Schizosaccharomyces pombe: one gene and its partners. Changing the gene in region 1 together with any one later gene gives a genetic interaction. Each region holds a gene or a part of one and is shown in the gene's direction. Other genes may lie near its edges. The genes, in order: cfr1, apm1, gga21 and end4.

What was found.
Region 2: mutations in cfr1 (region 1) and apm1 impair growth when combined (synthetic growth defect), as found in Schizosaccharomyces pombe (one study listed by BioGRID).
Region 3: of cfr1 (region 1) and gga21, changing one enhances a phenotype caused by changing the other (phenotypic enhancement), as found in Schizosaccharomyces pombe (one study listed by BioGRID).
Region 4: mutations in cfr1 (region 1) and end4 impair growth when combined (synthetic growth defect), as found in Schizosaccharomyces pombe (one study listed by BioGRID).

What each region holds. Positions count from the first base shown.
Region 1 is NC_003424.3:3,268,308-3,272,884, forward strand, and holds cfr1 (CHS5-like protein Cfr1), read left to right. Parts: upstream 1-1,889; 5' UTR 1,890-1,927; coding exon 1,928-3,790; 3' UTR 3,791-3,842; coding exon of another isoform or gene 3,843-3,958; 3' UTR 3,959-4,060; downstream 4,061-4,577. Other genes in the region: syb1 (synaptobrevin family receptor), read left to right, coding at 4-205, 270-433; bouquet formation protein Bqt1, read right to left, coding at 3,843-3,958, 4,110-4,392. UniProt on the Schizosaccharomyces pombe protein: Required for cell fusion, independently of fus1. Appears to have a role in transporting proteins that are involved in mating. May act as a scaffold to retain cell fusion proteins in the cisternae of the Golgi.
Region 2 is NC_003423.3:1,908,052-1,912,448, forward strand, and holds apm1 (AP-1 adaptor complex mu subunit Apm1), read left to right. Parts: upstream 1-2,089; 5' UTR 2,090-2,128; coding exon 2,129-2,190; exon of another isoform or gene 2,191-2,265; coding exon 2,266-2,371; exon of another isoform or gene 2,372-2,441; coding exon 2,442-3,089; intron 3,090-3,167; coding exon 3,168-3,632; 3' UTR 3,633-3,764; downstream 3,765-4,397. Other genes in the region: ribosome biogenesis protein Nop8, read left to right, coding at 81-1,517; fmo1 (flavin dependent monooxygenase), read right to left, coding at 4,085-4,397. UniProt on the Schizosaccharomyces pombe protein: Component of the adaptor complexes which link clathrin to receptors in coated vesicles. Clathrin-associated protein complexes are believed to interact with the cytoplasmic tails of membrane proteins, leading to their selection and concentration.
Region 3 is NC_003424.3:621,200-625,951, forward strand, and holds gga21 (adaptin family protein), read left to right. Parts: upstream 1-1,923; 5' UTR 1,924-2,072; coding exon 2,073-2,106; exon of another isoform or gene 2,107-2,175; coding exon 2,176-2,263; exon of another isoform or gene 2,264-2,318; coding exon 2,319-2,394; exon of another isoform or gene 2,395-2,552; coding exon 2,553-3,887; 3' UTR 3,888-4,208; downstream 4,209-4,752. Other genes in the region: SSU-rRNA maturation protein Tsr3, read right to left, coding at 1-653, 790-992; mitotic and meiotic spindle pole body protein, gamma tubulin complex linker-related Spo15, read right to left, coding at 4,231-4,752.
Region 4 is NC_003424.3:3,133,145-3,139,352, forward strand, and holds end4 (clathrin adaptor End4), read left to right. Parts: upstream 1-1,842; 5' UTR 1,843-1,980; coding exon 1,981-5,289; 3' UTR 5,290-5,522; downstream 5,523-6,208. Other genes in the region: DNA polymerase zeta catalytic subunit Rev3, read left to right, coding at 1-1,176; SPOM_SPAC688.12C (uncharacterized protein), read right to left, coding at 5,578-6,081. UniProt on the Schizosaccharomyces pombe protein: Required for cellular morphogenesis and polarization of the cortical cytoskeleton. Required for establishment of new polarized growth zones where it acts in actin organization.

The sequences.
Region 1 (4,577 bases):
ACCATGTCTGAGCCATATGACCCATATATCCCGGCGGAGCCTTCTGCAGCTGTTCGTAGTGGAAATGCTGCTGCTTCGTCGACGCCGAATATGAAGACAGCTGCAATTCAGCAGCAGATTGACGATACTGTGGGGATTATGCGTGAAAACATTTCTAAGGTTTCAGAACGTGGAGAACGCCTTGATTCTTTACAAGATAAAACAGGTATGATATTTATTTTTGTTAACAGTTAAATTTTTTTTTTGAACGTTTAGCTAACTTCTTTAAGATAACCTTGCTGTTAGCGCGCAAGGCTTCCGTCGTGGCGCCAATCGTGTTCGCAAGAAGATGTGGTGGAAGGACATGCGTATGCGTCTTTGCATTATCATTGGTATCATCATTTTACTTGTTGTCATTATTGTTCCTATCGCAACAAAATTTCATGGCAAGTAAGAAGATGTATCATGTAGCTTAGTCGCATGCCGAGTCAAAATATTTGCTGTTTGAATACTTTTTTTTCAAGCGTATTTTTGTCTCTGGTTTTTTTCTTCCTTCTCTCTTTCTTTCTCTCTTGCCTGACACAACAACCTATAAATCGAATTTTAAGAAAAAAGCTTCTGATGTAGACAGGGCCACTTTTTTTGCAAAGAGATAACGCATTTTTTCTCAAGATCCTTTATTCGTTTTTATTTTTCTTGCATATACATACTTGATGACTGACGGGTCAATGATAGTGAATACCAGGTTGGTTTTTTGTTGAGCAATTTGGTTTTGGCCTGTATTGCTTTTTCCTCTTTTCTTCTTTCTACACCTCACCATACATATCATGGGCCTTGCTTGCTTGACAAAGGAAATCTTTATGGATACAAAATTATCATTACTTTCCGTACTTAAGATGGTAAATAGAATTTTTGTTTCCTTCTCGGTATTTCTTTTCTATTCCGCTCTTTATATGGATAACCCTATAGCATAAAGATGGATAATGTTTTAATGTATACAGATTAGCCTCGATATTCCATTTGTCTACGGCTTTTTTCTAATTCTTCAAAAGTACTTAGTACGGGAGCAAATTTGTTATCTTATTTTCATATTTTTCCTTTAGAAGCTAGCTTCTTTTTATACTGATTATTGCACTGATAGGTGTATTAAAAAACCACTATTCTTAATTAATTTTATAGAGTGAAATGTGTAAACCTGATAATTAGGAAATATTTTTTAAGTTTGCTCACACGTGGTTTTATATCCAGATTAACAATTGTATTATTTTTCGACTTCTATTTTGCTCAACAGATATTGTGGTCTAATCCTTCATTCGTGTAGTATTTTAAATTTTGAATGCAGCACGGTTTACGAATTAAGATATATTCATCAACTGGGTTCAACAGTACTGCATTTGTTTTTGTTTACTATCAATGTAACTTAACGTAATTTAGAATTTAATTGTATCAGAAAGTAGTATATTTGCTCCCCTTAAAATGCTTTAGTCTGAAGAATAGATAATAATAGCCCAATATTTTAATAATTTAGATGATTGAAAAAATCAACAGATTTTTTTGTAATATTGTTTGTATGAATTCTCGTTGAAATATAATAATAAACTACATATATTAAATCGTTCACTTTTACTGAGTGATTGAATTAAATATATCTTCAAATATTTGTATATAATTTTAATAAATTGTAATTGTCTTCCTTACTAGAATTACGCTTATAATGATACTAACCAGAAAATTTAAAAAATATATAAGTTTGATATGTAAATAGATTGTGAAAAACCAGGGAATCACAACAACTCTTGATATTTATCAAAACAAAGATGATTATAACCTACATTTTTACTACGGTTCCTTAGGTAACAAGTGCTACCTATAGTTAGAAGTGTAAGAGTGCTGGTTAAGGTAAACACTCCACCACAACCAAAGGGGATTATCAATAATAGCATCTAAAATGGATGATACAAATCAATTTATGGTGTCTGTGGCCAAAATAGATGCGGGAATGGCCATCTTATTGACACCTTCATTTCATATTATAGAATTTCCATCCGTGTTGCTGCCGAATGACGCGACTGCAGGCTCTATAATCGATATCTCTGTGCATCACAATAAAGAGGAAGAGATAGCAAGAGAAACTGCATTCGATGATGTTCAAAAAGAAATTTTTGAAACATATGGCCAAAAATTGCCGTCTCCTCCTGTTCTTAAGTTAAAGAATGCTACTCAGACTAGCATTGTATTGGAATGGGATCCTTTACAACTCTCCACTGCGAGACTCAAAAGCCTTTGCTTGTACCGTAATAATGTTCGAGTGCTTAACATATCTAATCCCATGACTACTCACAATGCCAAGCTGAGTGGCTTATCTCTCGATACAGAATACGATTTTTCCCTTGTTTTGGATACGACTGCGGGAACATTTCCCAGCAAACACATTACCATCAAAACGTTAAGAATGATAGATCTCACAGGAATTCAAGTGTGTGTTGGCAACATGGTTCCCAATGAGATGGAGGCTTTACAAAAGTGTATTGAACGCATTCACGCTAGACCAATTCAAACTAGCGTTCGTATCGATACAACTCATTTTATCTGCTCTTCTACTGGGGGTCCTGAGTACGAAAAGGCAAAAGCTGCCAATATCCCTATTTTAGGTTTGGATTATTTGTTGAAATGCGAATCTGAAGGACGTTTGGTGAACGTTAGTGGTTTTTACATCGAAAATCGCGCTTCTTACAATGCTAACGCTTCTATTAATTCTGTAGAAGCTGCGCAAAATGCTGCACCAAATCTCAATGCTACAACCGAACAACCGAAGAATACCGCTGAAGTTGCTCAAGGTGCTGCATCAGCTAAAGCTCCACAGCAAACAACCCAACAGGGAACTCAAAATAGTGCAAATGCTGAGCCATCTAGTTCAGCTTCTGTTCCGGCTGAAGCGCCTGAAACTGAGGCTGAGCAATCAATCGATGTTTCCAGCGACATTGGTTTACGAAGTGATTCTAGTAAGCCCAATGAAGCTCCAACTTCTTCGGAAAACATCAAAGCGGATCAGCCAGAAAATTCTACAAAGCAGGAAAATCCCGAAGAGGATATGCAAATAAAGGATGCTGAGGAACATTCGAATCTGGAAAGTACACCTGCTGCCCAGCAAACTTCCGAAGTTGAAGCTAACAATCATCAAGAAAAACCATCTTCTTTGCCAGCCGTTGAGCAGATTAACGTGAACGAAGAAAACAATACCCCGGAGACTGAAGGACTTGAAGATGAAAAAGAAGAAAATAATACAGCCGCTGAATCTTTAATCAATCAAGAAGAAACTACCTCCGGTGAAGCAGTTACAAAGAGTACTGTTGAATCCTCAGCGAATGAGGAAGAAGCTGAACCTAACGAAATAATTGAAGAGAACGCTGTTAAATCTTTATTGAATCAAGAAGGACCTGCAACTAACGAAGAGGTTGAAAAAAACAATGCTAATTCTGAAAATGCGAATGGCTTGACAGATGAGAAAATAATCGAAGCCCCTTTAGATACTAAGGAAAATTCAGACGATGATAAGCCATCTCCCGCAGCAGCTGAAGATATTGGTACTAACGGTGCAATTGAGGAAATCCCTCAAGTTTCTGAAGTCTTAGAGCCAGAAAAAGCGCATACTACTAACTTGCAACTGAATGCGCTCGATAAAGAAGAAGATCTAAATATTACTACAGTTAAGCAAAGTTCGGAACCTACGGCTGATGACAATCTAATACCCAACAAAGAAGCAGAAATTATACAATCTTCTGACGAGTTTGAAAGTGTAAACATTGATTAATGACATTGATCTCTTGTATTCTGCAGTCTTTTTTTTTTCTTATGTTTATATGTTAACATTCTACGAATATCCTCCACTTTTCCAATCGTTTGACTAAAGGCACATGGGAACCATTTTGAACTGTAATGCTCTGGTATCCTTGCAGTCTTCTAGACCATGGAAGTACATCTAAACTCATTTAGCATTAGTAAATATATAGCTTCGGATTTTTTTTTCGTTCTCTAATAAATTTTTTTTTTTAAATTAAATCAACTAGGTCAAAAATGGGTAATGGGAGGTTTTGAAATTATGTTTCATTATACTGATAGACAGAACTTACAATATCGTAGTTTGAAATTCGTGCTGGCGTCTTCTTCCATATGTATCAATGATTCTTTATTTTGACCTTGGCAAAGCAAAGCGAATTGCCATATATTCGGAAATATCGAGTATAAATATTCTATCCTTTCAATTGAAACTTGAATAAGGCTGTGTTTTAAAAATCTAGCATGCTCACAGTTTGAATCAGTGCATACAGGTGTTTGAGTATAAATCGCGATTTGGGTTAAATATTCTACTTTGTTTTGTTCAAAAGAAATAAGCGTCGTAGTTAATAAATGCATTTTGTTTAAATCAGTATCATTTAGGATGGGTGAAAGGATTTTTTTTTAAAACGCGTCGTTTGTAGAAGAAGAGGTGCATAAAATATGAACACACCACATATAATAATAAGAGGATAGACATTAAAGCCAACAACCTATTAAAAGTGTAAATTTGAAATCAAAAAAGATTAAAAAAAAGAATAGGA
Region 2 (4,397 bases), on another chromosome or scaffold:
TTTATTTCCCATTATATTTCAGACACTCTTTTTGACCTGCGAAACTTTTTGTCCTCATTTTGTATCAATTGACTTCAATAATGGAGTTAGAAAAACGGATTTATGTTGGTGGCCTTTCATCCTCTATTGAATCTTCAGATTTGGAATCCAGATTTTCTCGTTTTGGAAGTGTTTCAAATCTTGAAATTATAAACAAATCTACTCCAGTAGGAACTATACAACGATTTGCATACTTGAATTTTCGAACAGATGAAGATAAATGGCAGAAATGCAAGTCTTACTTATCAAATGCGACGTTTAAAGGAAGTAAACTTCGTATAGAGGAAGCTCGCCCTTATTATTTAGTAAAATTGCAGCAGGAAAAAAAAATTGCTGATCTTCAAAGTACTAATAATGATGAGAAAAATGAAGATCACTCCAGCAAAGTTGATCTGGAAGACCCAGTCTTTCATGGAGAAATAATTGTTCCCGGAAAACATAGTAAAAATATGCAGGTGGTCACGGATTCTGATGTTCGGAAGGATCCTCCTAGAAAAGGTTGGAAAAAAGGCCCCTATGGAAGGGCCATTGTCGTGCTTCGAATGTATAATAAAAATACTAAGAAAACGAGGTTTTTTTATCCGCTGGGTAAAAACTGCTTACAAAAACTATGGGGCCGAGTGGAAACGAATATGGACAATACTACAGCTTTTTATGATTCTGATCATGATGAGTATGTATCATATGGGGGTAAGAGAGCTTCTCGTGACAAAATACGTATGCAAGCAAAATTGGGTATCAAAGCTTCTACTCAGAAGGATGATAACGATTTTGAACTTCTTAATAACACAACTGGGGAGATTGAAGTCACAAAAGAATTAAACGAAGAGCAATTGGATGCTTTGCGAAAAAAAGATAAGGATACGGCTGCATCTGTGTTAGCTGAACTGTTTGGTTCTGAAAATACAGAAGAAATTGATACCGTATCTAAAACTTCAGGTGTTTTGGAACTGGACAATGATTCGACTAATAATTTCCAAAAAGAAGGTTTGGATGAACAAGATAATTTACAAAAGGAAGAGTCCGTACACATAGATGTTCCTGCTGAATTTGAAGCATTTGATGAGCGTACTGCTGTTGTTAACGTTGACAATTTAAAAGAAATGTTTTCTTCCAATGCGCAGGATACGTCTAAGTTTTCTCTTTTTGGCAATGAAAATGGAGTTGGTGAGGAAAGTGAAATGGAAAGTGAGATTGATGACCGTAATTACGAAACTATGGAAGAAGAGGCAGATGGGGAAACTCCGCTAGCTATAGTTAAAGCCTCATCGGGTACCAAGGGTTGGCCAAAAATGTTTACTCTACCCAATCCTTCTTCCCTATTCCAACCAGGTAATGAAGATTATACGAGCAGAGAAGCTCTTGAATCCTGGTGGTCGGAAAATCGTCTATTCTTAACTCGTGATTACAAACGAAAAAGAAAAGATGCCGTAAAAAGACAGCGAAGGGCTCATGAAAAGCGTATTCGACTTGTTTAAAGACGCGTATAGGTTATGTATTTATTGGGAATTTATTTGGGTATTTTAAGGTTACGAGGTATATATTGATTTTTTACACACTTTTGGAATCTTTACGTTGTTATTTCTCTATCCTTTTTATTTTAGAAAAAAATCTGTGTCTTTTTAAAAAGCCACGATGTTCACTTTGGTTTTATCATTGGTGAAAGTTAACAACTTTTTTCGTTGCACTTTCTTGGGATTTGTGGCTTTTAATATTTACAATGTTTGAGATCAAATTTTATTAAAATATTTGTTATTCTTATTGTTATAAGCCAAAGTTGTCAAATAAAACATACCGAAATTTTCTTACATTGTCAGAAAAATTATTTTCCTTTTCGGCATTTACAAAACCATATAATGTAAATTAGTTATAATTATCTGAATAGATTATCTTATAAAAGAAGACTGAATGTGTGCATAGAGTAGTAATTACTCAATATAAGAAGAATTTCGTACTATATGTAAGAAACAGAAATAGTGAATTACGCTGTATTACACTAGCGGTGCTTAGGCACGGTGATGAGGCAGCCAACAGTCAATGCTAGTTATCCAGAGCGAAACTAGCTGCCTTATTCGCGGCTTCTGTAAAAATGGCTTCTGCTATATTCGTTCTGAATTTAAAGGGAAAGGTAATCATTTCCCGTGATTACCGGTAGGCAATTTTGAAATCTGAATGAAAATCAGATTGTCGCAATTCGTCGACAGGTTACTAACAGAAAACAATTAGAGCTGATATCCCCATGTCAGTAGTTGAAAAGTTTTTACCTTTAAAATCAGAAGTTGAAGAAGAACAAGGATTCTCCACCCCTTGTCTCACTCACGAAGGCATTAACGTATGTAAAAGTTAGATATTATGAAAGCCAACAATTCTTATTTTTTTATGGTCGTACTAACACTTTTCAGTACATTTACATTCACCATAATGATGTCTACCTCCTTGCTTTATCCAAAATGAATTCCGATGCAATGGAGATGCTAGTATTTTTGCGTAAAATGGCGGACGTTTTTATAGATTACTTTAAAGAATTGCAGGAAGAGTCGATTCGAGATAACTTTGTTCTTGTTTATGAATTGTTAGACGAGATCATGGATTTCGGTTTTCCACAAACAACTGAAACAAAAATCTTGCAAGAATACATCACTCAAACCTCAAATACGGTAAAAAAGCATGCTCCACCCCCCATTGCTATGACAAATGCTATCTCCTGGCGTTCTGAAGGAATTCACTATCGTAAGAATGAAGTATTTTTGGACGTTATTGAATCAGTTAATTTAATTGCTGCTGCCGATGGTACGGTCATTCAAAGTGAAATCTTAGGAAAAGTTCGTCTCAAATGCTACTTATCAGGAATGCCTGAACTTCGTCTTGGGCTCAATGACAAGGTCCTTTTCGAAGCGGCTGGTCGTACCATTAAAGGAAACACTGTGGAAATGGAAGATGTGAAATTTCACCAATGTGTTCGTCTTGCTCGATTTGAAAACGATCGTACAATTTCGTTCATTCCTCCTGATGGCGAATTTGATTTAATGTCCTATCGCATGAGTTCAAATGTAAGTTATTAGTTTGTGCCTGTTCTTTTTATTCCCTCTCTCCTTTATCAACGTTTTCTAATATTAATTTCTCGTTAGGTACGGCCATTAATTTGGGTTGAATGTGAATCCATCGTGCATTCAGGTTCGAGAATTGAGTTTATGGTAAAAGCTAAGGCTCAATTCAAAAAGCGTTGTATTGCAAATAATGTCCAAATCATCATTCCCGTTCCGGAAGATGCTGACAGTCCTCGGTTTCAAACTAGCAATGGTCATGTGCAATATGCACCTGAACAAGCTGCCATGGTTTGGAACATTAAGAAATTTGCAGGTGGTAAAGAATTTTTCATGCGTGCTGAAATGGGTTTACCAAGTGTTAAAAATGAAGATATTCAAGTTCAGAAAAAACGTCCTGTTCAACTAAAATTTGCTATTCCCTATTTCACTACCTCAGGGATCCAAGTTCGTTATTTAAAAATCACCGAACCAAAACTTAATTATCATGCTATGCCTTGGGTTCGATATGTTACACAAAATGGTACTGAATATTCCATCCGTCAGTAAATGTTTCTAATGATGGTTCTCCGTTCCGTTCTTTTTTCTACCTTTAGATACCTTTCCCTTCATCTATATATTTGTTTTCTTAGTGTACTGATCCCATTTATTACGAAATGAAATCTTGTTTGCAGACGCGCTAATCCTTTTTCTTACTCAGCTGACATAAAAGGAGCATTTGCTTGAAACATAAATGTCTAAGTCTATTTATTGTATAAAGGATAAGTTCAATGTTTTTATTAAAACAGAAATAAAGATTTTCTAACATACAATTCCATTTACTCAGTAGTGAATCTCCGTGTATTAAAAATACATAAAAGACAGATTGTTCCAAACGGTTTTCTAAACATAATAAATTAAAAACCAAAAGCGAGAGAATGAGAGGGAGACCGGATAGTAAGAAAAAGATTGAAGGGAAAAGTTTAAAGGTCTAAGGGTGTAATGAGTTTTCAAGTACGTATTTACTTTGGAGGTTCAATTCCGAAAAACTTAGCACGGATGGACCACATGTTTTCACGGATGCTTCGTTCCTTCTCGCCCCAATACGGTGACGGAAACTCTTCTTCAAGAACAGGTGTAGCCTGTTTACACCAGTCGTGTAGCTTGTTAATGTAGGTAGCGTCTTTTGGATAATCCAAAGAGTGATACATATTATTTGCTCCACTCAGCGAAAACATTAATTCGTCTTGCCATTTCAGCTGCTCTTCTTTGCTGGGTAATTTGAGGCGACCAGACCAAACTCGCGCGAGGAACGCTGCCTGTGCTTGACTAGTA
Region 3 (4,752 bases), 2.6 Mb from region 1:
TAGAATGAACTTTCATTCTCACGATTTTTCGCCAGACTTCATCTTCATCCACATCGTTGGCTTGCAGATTAGTTAGAGTCTCTTCATTATCATCTGTTGGAATAGAGTGTTCGTCATGAGCCAATGAAGCTTCGGACGGTTCGTGTAATGGTGACCGAGATTCTTCAGAGTTTGAATGTGTTGAACTGGTGTTTAATGTTGGTTTGTGATTTAAATTTCCAGCTGACCAAATGTCGTCAGTAGTTTGATTTCTTTGTTCTTGGTAAGAAGCTTCCATTTCCTCCAAGTATTTTTTTTCTTTTTCTTGAATATCTTGAGCATCATGACATTGAGCATAAATATCGAGAAGTTCTTCGTTTACCTCAAAAAAAGAATGTCCCCATTTGAAATTATCCATTAAAAGTCTCGCCTCATTAGGATATCCGACAATATACATGCAAGCTGCCAGAGCTTCAGCACAATTTAATCGCCAAGGCCTACCATAGTTAACTGGATTGGAGGCCACTAAATATGGAAGCAACCGCTCACAGCGACCACCAATTCTAGAAAAAGGGATTTCCTCTATGCGAGCCCAAGAGCATTCAACTACACTAGCACCTCCATTATCAAAGTACTCCTTATCGGCTGGAGAAACAGGAACTTTTCCGTTTGGTCTGCAGCGTTAAAATCTGATACATAGCAAAATGGTAAAAAAATATTAATAATTAGTCTTAGTGCCCTTGCGCTGTATACAGCAAACATTCGACAAGAGTTTAAGATCGGGTTTCTTTCTAACGGTTCTCAACTTACGTTATTACAACTCCTCGAAACTTCTGTCCAATTCTAAGGTTTCGTACGCATCCTAGACGCTCTAATCGTTTACCAGAACAGGCATTTGGATTACAATGTCCAAAATCCCACATTGCTAAGGGTAATGGAAATTTGGATGCCTTGTTTGAACCCTTGAAGCCATCTTTGGCATTAGAACGACGATTAGAACTCCTTGGGCCCATATCCAAATATCGATGTTGAAAAGTGACACGCTGTTTGATGTAGGAAATCCGCCATATTTGGTGTGGGTGTTGTTATCAATCAATAATGCACTGTACCAATGCCGTGTTAAAAGTAATCATCTTCAGTAGCAATCGAGTATTAAGATGAGAGGAAATCTTTATCTATATACAATTCGACTACTTAATCAATTGACCGTCCCTCCTTCTTTTCAGAAAAATATTTCCTTACATTCATTAAAGATATGCTATTGAAAAGTGGATATTGCCCAAAAGTGGTTAATGTTCTCACTCTTGAGCGAGACAATGCAATGACATTAGTTTTTTGCATTTCTTGGCAAATCCAGGAAAAAGCCTCGCGGTAATATAAGAATGGTCAATTCTCGTAAAATGACCTTGTATGGCTGTTAATACTTTCATAGTTGTTCAAATAGAACTGTTACACAAAACTCGTTTACACACAATGTATTTTCCTCATGCTTTTTCAACGATATACAATTGTACAATTGTTCTCCTCGATCCATTTTAAAAATTTTGATACAAAATGAATAGTGAAAGTAATAGCAGAGCTACGTTTTCTTGTCAGTGTTTAATTATGGAACGTAACAACAGTGTTAGTTTCATTCTTCTTACACTTATCAGTTTCTGTGCTCGATAGTAAATTGTTTCATTCATGTAAAAATAATTAAATTCAATTGGATTTTAATTTTCAATTCGACACTAGCTACAGCAATAAACTGCGGATCAAAAATATGGCATGTAGCATATATTTGAAGAATTTTAGCAAGTTTTGGGAACTTGTTCTTTACATAAAGCTTTTCAGCTGAACCAGATATAACCGGGTTCTTATGGTGGTTTTAATCTTTACTCTACTATCGCATACCTTATTTGACTTAGAACTCGTTTGGTCTCTTGTTGGTAAACCAAGCCTCCCAACTTCCTTGACTGAAGAGTATACCTCAGACTTTTGCACAATTTTGTTTTTGGATTTTTTCTTTTTGTTTTAATTTTATTGGCTCTTCAAATCTGCGAATCTGCCTTCTGTTTTGTTTTTAGATCTAGAAAAATTTACTACTTATCACCATGCGCTCTAGCCAGACTTTATCAAAGTATATTGGTGAGTATTCTTTTGTGACGCTATATTTTACTGTTAAGATGGGAATATGAATCGCTGACAAGTAATTAGACAAAGCTACCGATCAATTCAATTTGGAGCCAAATTTGGCCTTGAATATAGAGATAGCGGACCTTATAAATGAAAAGAAAGGAAATACGTACGTGAATTAAGGATTTAATTCCTACAATTGCTTTGTTGCTGACTTTTCGCAGCCCACGTGAAGCAGCTTTATTGATTTTAAAGCGTGTCAACAGTGCAAATCCCACAGTTTCATATCTGGCTTTACATGTAAGTATATTCCTCTAGCCTTTGAGGAGAATGGTTGGTACCCATCAGTTTACGAATCTCTCCTTTATGTGCATGGTCAAGCGTTTATTGTTCACCATGGCGAGTCCAGAGTACTTTACGCTTTCTTGTGAGATATTTGGTTAACATAAGTGCTTTAGTTGCTCGATATTTGTGTAAAGAACTGCGGTTATCCATTTCACTTTCAGATCGCATCAGAAGAGTTTTTAAATGGATTCGTTTCACGATTCCCAAACCATCCCATCTCCCGAATGAATAAAATTCAATCTAAAATGCTAGAAATGCTAGAAGAGTGGAATTACATGCTTTGTAAAAACAATCGCCATCGTGAAGATTTTTCTCGCATTCACGACATTCGGGAGCTTATGGCTTTTCGTGGTTACAAGTTTCCTGCGGTAGACGAAGATTCCATTGCTGTCATGAAGCCTAATAATAGTCTTCGTTCTGCACAAGAATTAGCACGTGAAGATTTAGAAGCTCACAAAGCTAAATTGCAAGAATTGCTTCGACGAGGGACCCCCATGGATTTGGCTGAAGCCAATGCTCTTATGAAAGTAATAGCTGGCTATGATGAAGAGAATACTGAAGATTACTCTGCCTTGGCTGCTGCCGACCTTGAATCGATTAGATCAAAAGCACTTCGGGTAAAGCAATTTTTGGTTAATCAAACTGTATCTTTAGAAGAAGGCACGTTGGCGGATGCCGTTGAATCTTTAAAGGTTTACCAAACGAAAATAGCAAGAATTCTTCGAGAGGAAAATGAAGATGAATACTATGTGCAGAAACTTCTTTCGCTGAATGACCTACTTATTAACGTCATTGAAGAATGTTCCAACTCAGACTTAATACATTCCGGTACAAATGTAGTTTCCTCCCAACCGAATGTGGTTGAATCTCACGTACCTCCTTCTTCTAATGACACGAAACAAGAATCTTCGTTAATTGATTTGATGAAGCTTACTGAGGAACCTGCAGTCCCGTCCCCATCACTTCCAACCAATGTACCAGCCAACCAATCTCTGTCAATGTTATCATCCCTTTCTAACTCTATGTCGTCTACGTCGAATGGAGCTTTGAATTCACCTTCTTATAGTCAAGCAGCAATCCCCAACACTAATTCATCTTTGACATCTATTCTTCAATCTGATTCATTAATGATTTCTACTCAATTAACTTCGGTTCAAAAAAGCTCTGGCTTTGCTTCATACTCCGTTCAGTTCTCTAATTGCTCCCTTACCTGGCCAGTGTCCGAAGTAGTCTTCCAGGTCGCGGTTGTGAAATCTCTCAAGTTACAGCTACTTCCTCATACTGGGGATGCAATTATTGCCCCCGGAAAACAGAATGCTGCACACGAGATTATGAATATTACCAACATACCCGCCGATGCCTCTGATTTACGAATTCGTTGGAGAGTTCAGTGGATCATCGGTACAGATCATCGTGTAGAACAAGGCGAATCGCATCTTCCGCTGTAATTCTACGTGCGTTTTCTTCCATTTGCTCAACTAGATGAAGGAATATAAAAAAAGTGAAAACGTCAGTTGATATTACAGGTTTTATTATTTAATTAATGTGAGCCTCTGCGATTTGATAAATTAAACTATAAACTACGATAAAGCGAACTTTCCTTATTTTTAGAATTCTTTCCGCAATACCGATTTTAAATTTTTATAATACAAATGCCTTAACCAAAACCATTTTATTATATCTCTCAGTCAACATTATATGCTTCATAGTAATGAAAAATAAATTTAAAATTTATTTTTTATCGAAGCAAACCTTAAAATAGCCTCAATCATGTAGTTGTTAGTAAATCATTTAAACACAAGAGAGGTTCTCGATAACCTCTTCACAAAAAGAATGTCTTTGACCTAATAATCTCAAACGTTGCAGTGATATGACACATAATATTGCAGAACGTAACAATGACTGCTTGGTATTGGTAACCGGTATACTATAAGTAATTTGGGAATCTGGGTTAAACTTGGGAGAATCTCGAACCAAAAGATTGTGATATGCTGATTTAGACAACGCTAAAGACTTTCGGAAACTAATTTCTCGATTTAGTGCAAAATACAAAGCTTCAATCGATTTCCCAAGATTTTCAACCTTCTCAGAATAATTGTCAAATGTAGCTTGTTTTTCCTTTTCTTCTGCAGCGCATTTTTCAAGATCCTCTTTAAATTTGACAATGAATTCCGCACCCGCAAGGAACTGTAATTTAGCGACTTGTTGTTTGAAACTATCCAACACTTCCATTTCGACGCGATTAGTTTTGAAGAAATACCCAAAGTAGCCCTTCGGAAGTTGTTGCGAAAGCTCAATGCCATTTAGACGTTC
Region 4 (6,208 bases), 140 kb from region 1:
ATTGTGGAAACAGGACGTGAGATACTTAGCTATTCACTAGAATACATAAATACTTTAGATTTTTGTCATGCAAAGGTCGTTTATGGTGATACCGATAGCTTATTTGTTGAATTACCTGGAGCGACTAAAGAGCAAGCTTTCGACATCGGACAGCAGCTAGCAAACAACATTACTTCCAGATTTCCTTCTCCAATTCGACTTAAATTTGAAAAAATTTACTTTCCTTGTTTCTTGTTAGCGAAAAAAAGATATGTAGGGTTCAAATTTGAATCAGTTAGTCAAAAAGCTCCAATTTTTGAAGCGAAAGGCATTGAGACAGTTCGAAGGGATGGTACTCCTGTTCAACAGCAGCTCCTTCGTCGTTGCCTTGAAATACTTTTTAAGACAAAGGATTTGTCAACGGTCAAAAAAGAATTTCAGAACGTATGTTATCAAATTATGAGTGGAAACGTTCCTGTTATGGATTTTTGTTTTTCAAAAGAAGTTCGTCTAGAAAAATATAAAGAATTAAGTACTGCTCCTCCTGGAGCAGTTATGGCTAGACGGTTGATGACCAAAGATCCTAGGAGGGAACCTCAATATGGAGAACGTGTTCCATATTTGATTATCGCTGCTGCTCCTGGTACCACCTTGGCGAACCGCTCAGTTGCACCCGAAGAATTTCTGTCTTCGAGTTTTTCTCAACTTGATATAAATTATTATATCAACAATAGTTTGATACCTCCATTAGATCGATTTCTAAACTTGTTAGGGGCTAGTGCCCAGTCATGGTATCATGAAATGCCCAAACCACGTACCAGTTTAAAATTGACTGAAACAGTGAAAGGAGGTATTCAAAAAAAGACTTTGGACACTTTTCTGATGGAGAAGCTTTGCTCTTCTTGCTTGAAGAATAATATTGAAATTATTCCTGATAAAATTAACTCCCTCTGCAGTGATTGCTTAAAAAATCCTTGTGCTACTATTTCTAAAGCTGTTACGCAGCACAATGCTTATAACAAAAAACTTTCCTTGCTATTTGATATTTGTCGAGGCTGCAGTAAGCTTTCATCTAGTGATCCAGTTCTTTGCAAGTCAAATAGCTGTAAGGTGTACTATGATAGGGCGAAAACTGAGAATTATGCGAAAGTACAGGCAGAAATGTTAACGAAGACTCTTGGTTCTTTAGACTGGTAAATCATTATAACTTCAAATATTGGTGTGAAGGACTTGAAATTAAAATACATCAGGCATTTGTTCTCTTATCACCTGCTAGTTTATTCATCTACGTATTATTTATTACAATTATTTATTTTTTTTAGAAGGTTATATCGATAACTAAAAATATTAATATCATCATGTTATTGGATTTTTTTTTTTTAGTTAAAATTTAGTAAACCTCTTCGTATTCTAGGGTGCGTAGCAATTCTTTATTTACTTTTTACTGTCCGCAATACTACGCTGTGATACTTTACGTCGCGTGTCACTATATGTCAAGTGCACTGTTTTGATTTATCAACTTGACATGATAAGTTATCAAGGTACGGTTACTAATTATGATAAAGTAACTATCACTTACTACATTCAAATTCTTAACACTATATATTGAGATAAACTGAAGTGAGGACGGGAATCGGTTTTTAGCTACGTTAGTGATAAGTAACAGATAATGTGTATTAGAATACTTACATCAATTGCTACTTATATTACCTCGTATTGCAATATAACAATCACAAGGAAGATTCAATACTGTTTTTAAGTATCGTTAAAATAGATACCGAAATACGTAGCTGATATTTGCGAGACAAATTACTTCGTAATTATCAAAATTCGTACGGGACACGGATGTCGTAGTTTTGAAACAGAACCAATTTCTATAGTAAGAACGGACAGAAGACAATCTTGTACATAGCACTACGATATTTGTATTTTACCAGAAATTGTTAGGATTTGAATTGGCAAATTTTTAATTACCAAAAGTGAGAAATCGAAAAGTACACGATGAGTTCGTTTCGACTGCAATCCGATCACATGCAGTCAGACGCATCGTTGATGACAAGCGTGCGGAAGGCTACTAGCATCGATGAAACAGCCCCAAAGCGAAAGCACGTTCGTAGCTGCATCATTTTCACTTGGGATCATCATACAGCCAGGCCTTTTTGGACTGCTATAAAAGTTCAGCCATTGCTTGCAAACGAAGTTCAAACTTTCAAGGCGTTAATTACCATACATCGTGTCTTGCAAGAAGGTCATAAGTCTGCACTTGTTGATTCTCAAAGTGAGAAAGGCTGGCTTAAAACTTGTGAACGACAGTATGATGGTGAAAGTAGTCCAAAGGGCTATAGCGATTTAATTCGTGATTATGTGGATTATTTACTTGATAAGCTTTCTTTTCATGCTCAACATCCGGAATTTAATGGTACTTTTGAGTATAAAGAATACATTAGTCTTAGGCAAGTCGATGACCCTAATGAAGGTTATGAAACTGTATACGACATGATGAATCTTCAGGATCATATTGATGAATTTCAAAAACAGCTTTTTTCTAACTTCAAGCGTTCAAATAAAAATGAATGTAGAATTGCAGCCCTTGTGCCTCTAGTTCAGGAGTCATATGGTATTTATCGATTTTTAACTAGTATGTTACGTGCTTTATATAGCACAGTTGATGCCCCAGAGACTTTGGAACCTTTGAAGCATAGATATAAGTCACAACACCATAGGCTTCGTCAATTTTACGCGGATTGTTCAAATCTTCGATATTTGACTAGTCTCATTTCAGTCCCTCGTCTTCCACATGATCCCCCCGATTTGGAAGGTGATGACAATATCCCTGATCTTCCTAAGAGACCTGCTTCAATTGCTCCCCAACCCACTGGCGCCTCGACCATTGCTCCTCAGCCTACTGGTACTTCTCCATCTCCGCCGGTTGAAATGAATTTTCCTGATACTAGCGACATTACTCCGGCTTATAGTGAACCTGAACCTATTCAAGATTTCTGGTCTGATCCTACTTTAGATCAACAATTGGCTGCTCAGCAAGCGGCTCAGCAAGCTGCTCAACAACAAGCAGAGTTAGCGGCTCAGCAGGCCGCAGCACAGCAGGCTCAATTAGCAGCTCAGCAAGCTGCCGAAATGGAGCGTCAACGGATGGCCGCACAGCAACATCAGCAGGCCTTGGAGGCAATTCAAATGGCACAAGCTGAACAACAGCGTATTGCGCAAGAACAACTTGCTCAGCAACAATTTCAAATGCAAACACAAGGACAGTTGGCTGAACTTGAGCAACAGCTTCTTGCTACTCGAGGACAACTTGAACAGAGCAATGTGTTACTTAATCAATATGATGCTAGAGTGAGAACTCTTGAAAATGAGCTGAGCCAGGCTGGCGTTAACTTGCAGGAGCAAATACATCAAAATGATGATCTTATTGAATCTTTAAAAAATCAGATTCTTACATGGAAAAACAAGTACGAAGCATTAGCCAAATTATATACACAACTTCGTCAGGAACACTTAGATTTACTTTCGAAATATAAACAAATTCAGCTCAAAGCAAGTTCTGCGCAAGAGGCTATTGACAAGAAAGAAAAAATGGAAAGAGAAATGAAGAATAAAAACTTGGAACTTGCTGATATGATTTTGGAAAGAGACAGGGCTCGTCACGAACTCGAGACTATGCATCGTAGTCAACGAGACAAGCAAGAAAGCACTGAGCGTGAATTACGTTTACTTCAGGAAAAGGCTGCTTCCCTTGAGCGCAATAAATCATCTGAAGTATCAAATTTGCTTAGTCGTTATAATACAGAAGTTGCTCATTTAGAAGATGCTCTTCATTCAAAGGATCGTGAGCTAGCCAACTTAGGTGTTGAATTGAAGTCTACTGAAAATCGGTACCGCCAACTTTTGCAGGAAAAGGAAGAAGAGCTGGAGATTCAAAAAGCAGCTGTCGACGAGTCTCTGTTACAGCTTAGCAAATTACAATTGGATCGTAATGACATTGATCAAGCGATGGATACTCAAATTGACGAGCTTTTGAAATCGCAGCTGGAGAAGCTTGATGACATAGTGGATTCTGTTTTGGCTACTGGTATCCAACGTTTAGACACTAGTTTGTATGAACTGGATTCACCGATGCATGCCGGTAATCAATATGCTACTCCTGAATTTATTCTATCTACTATTGAAAATGCTAGTAACAATGCTACTGATTTTTCGACAGCATTCAATAACTATTTTGCTGATGGGCCTAACGCTGACCATTCTGAGGTCATCAATGGAGTCAATCTTTTCTCCACGGCCATATACGAAGTTGCCAATAATGCTAAAGGTTTAAGTAGAACAACTGGTGACGACCAAGGATCGGATCGGTTTGTTGGCTTATCTCGGGATTTGGTAAATATGGCCAAACGGTTCCTTTCCAGTTTATTTTCCGTCAACACAAGAAAAATGGATGTAAATGTTAAAACAGATCTTGTAATTGGTGAAAATATAGAGTTACAACGCTATTTACAACAACTTACACAGTACTCTGAAAAATTCCTGAACAAAGAATCGGAAAACACTGTGGGATTACTCAATGCTCCCGGTGAAAACATTGAAGAACTTGTCGATAATCAACTGGCGGAAACAGCACAGGCTATTCAACAGGCTATTTTAAGATTACAAAATATCGCAGCAAAACCCAAAGACGATAGTTTGTCCCCTTCAGAACTGCAAGTTCACGATTCTTTGTTAAGCGCATCAATTGCCATTACCGAGGCTATTGCCAGATTAATTAAAGCAGCAACTGCTTCACAGGCAGAGATTGTTGCTCAAGGAAGAGGTTCCAGTTCACGTGGTGCATTTTATAAAAAACATAACCGCTGGACGGAAGGCCTTATATCAGCTGCGAAAGCCGTTGCGCGTGCTACAACTACTTTAATCGAAACTGCTGATGGAGTCGTAAACGGTACATCTAGTTTTGAGCATTTGATTGTCGCATGTAATGGTGTTAGCGCCGCAACTGCACAATTGGTTGCAGCCTCTCGTGTAAAAGCAAATTTCGCCTCTAAGGTTCAAGATCATCTTGAGGATGCTGCGAAAGCTGTTACGGAGGCCTGTAAGGCATTGGTTCGTCAAGTGGAGTCTGTTGCTCTCAAAGCTAAAGAGGTGCAGCATGAAGACTTCTCTTCATTGGGTGTTCATGAATATCGTCGTAAAGAAATTGAGCAACAGGTGCAAATTTTGAAGTTGGAAAATGATTTAGTCGCTGCCCGACGTCGTCTTTTTGATATGAGAAAAACATCTTATCATGTTGCCGAAGAGTAATTAAGTCTTTTCGATCCTTTTTATTTTTATGAATTAATTTTGGAAAGCCTTAAATACTCAGCTATTAGTGCTTCTATTTTTGCTAGGTCGATACGGGATGATAAATACATTGCGTTCTTTTCCGACCAATAGGCAGTATTAGTATATTTAAATTTTAAATGTAAATAAATACCATTACATATTGTGACACTTGTAGATCCTACTGATATACTAATGATCAAAGCAGAATGGCTAACCTACCGCACTATATCTCTTAAAGTAAAACAAACATAATCCAGATTTATTTTTCTACAACTTTTTCTTTTTCCTCCTCTCGGTTTTTTTCTCTTTCTTTTGCTCCTTCTTTTGTTCTTTCTTTTCTCGTTGTTCTTTTAAGCGCTGTTTTCTTTCAGCCAGTAGAGCCTCATCTTCAGGATTTGCGCAAGCAACTTCGAATAGTTTCCATGAAAGAATTAAACCTAGACCAGTCGCGCCAAAAACATAAAGATCTAAAGTAATCAATGTGGTCTGAACAAGTATGAATGTGATTATCATCTTAATGATGATCTCACGGCCTGACACATTGCTACGAACTTCTTTACGAATACCCAAAGGAAACCATCGAATTTTACCAGGGGGTCCAAATGAAATATGATAATTCCGTTTCGTGGGATTGTTAGAAGGACCCTTGGGCTTATAAATGTGAATTAAATTGATAAATGCTCCAATAAGGAAAATAGCTAGTCCAATTTTGTTATTCTTCGGATTCGAGAAAGTCTTTGTCAATTGATACGGAGATTCTTCTTCACTCATTGTAATTTATTTTCTATTATAGGAGATATAAAAGAAGAACCGTTCGTTCCAAATTAATTTGATCAAAGTATGGTGAATGAAACCGTCGGGGTGGAGGTTAGGAAAAATGTGGTACTACAGACAAAAA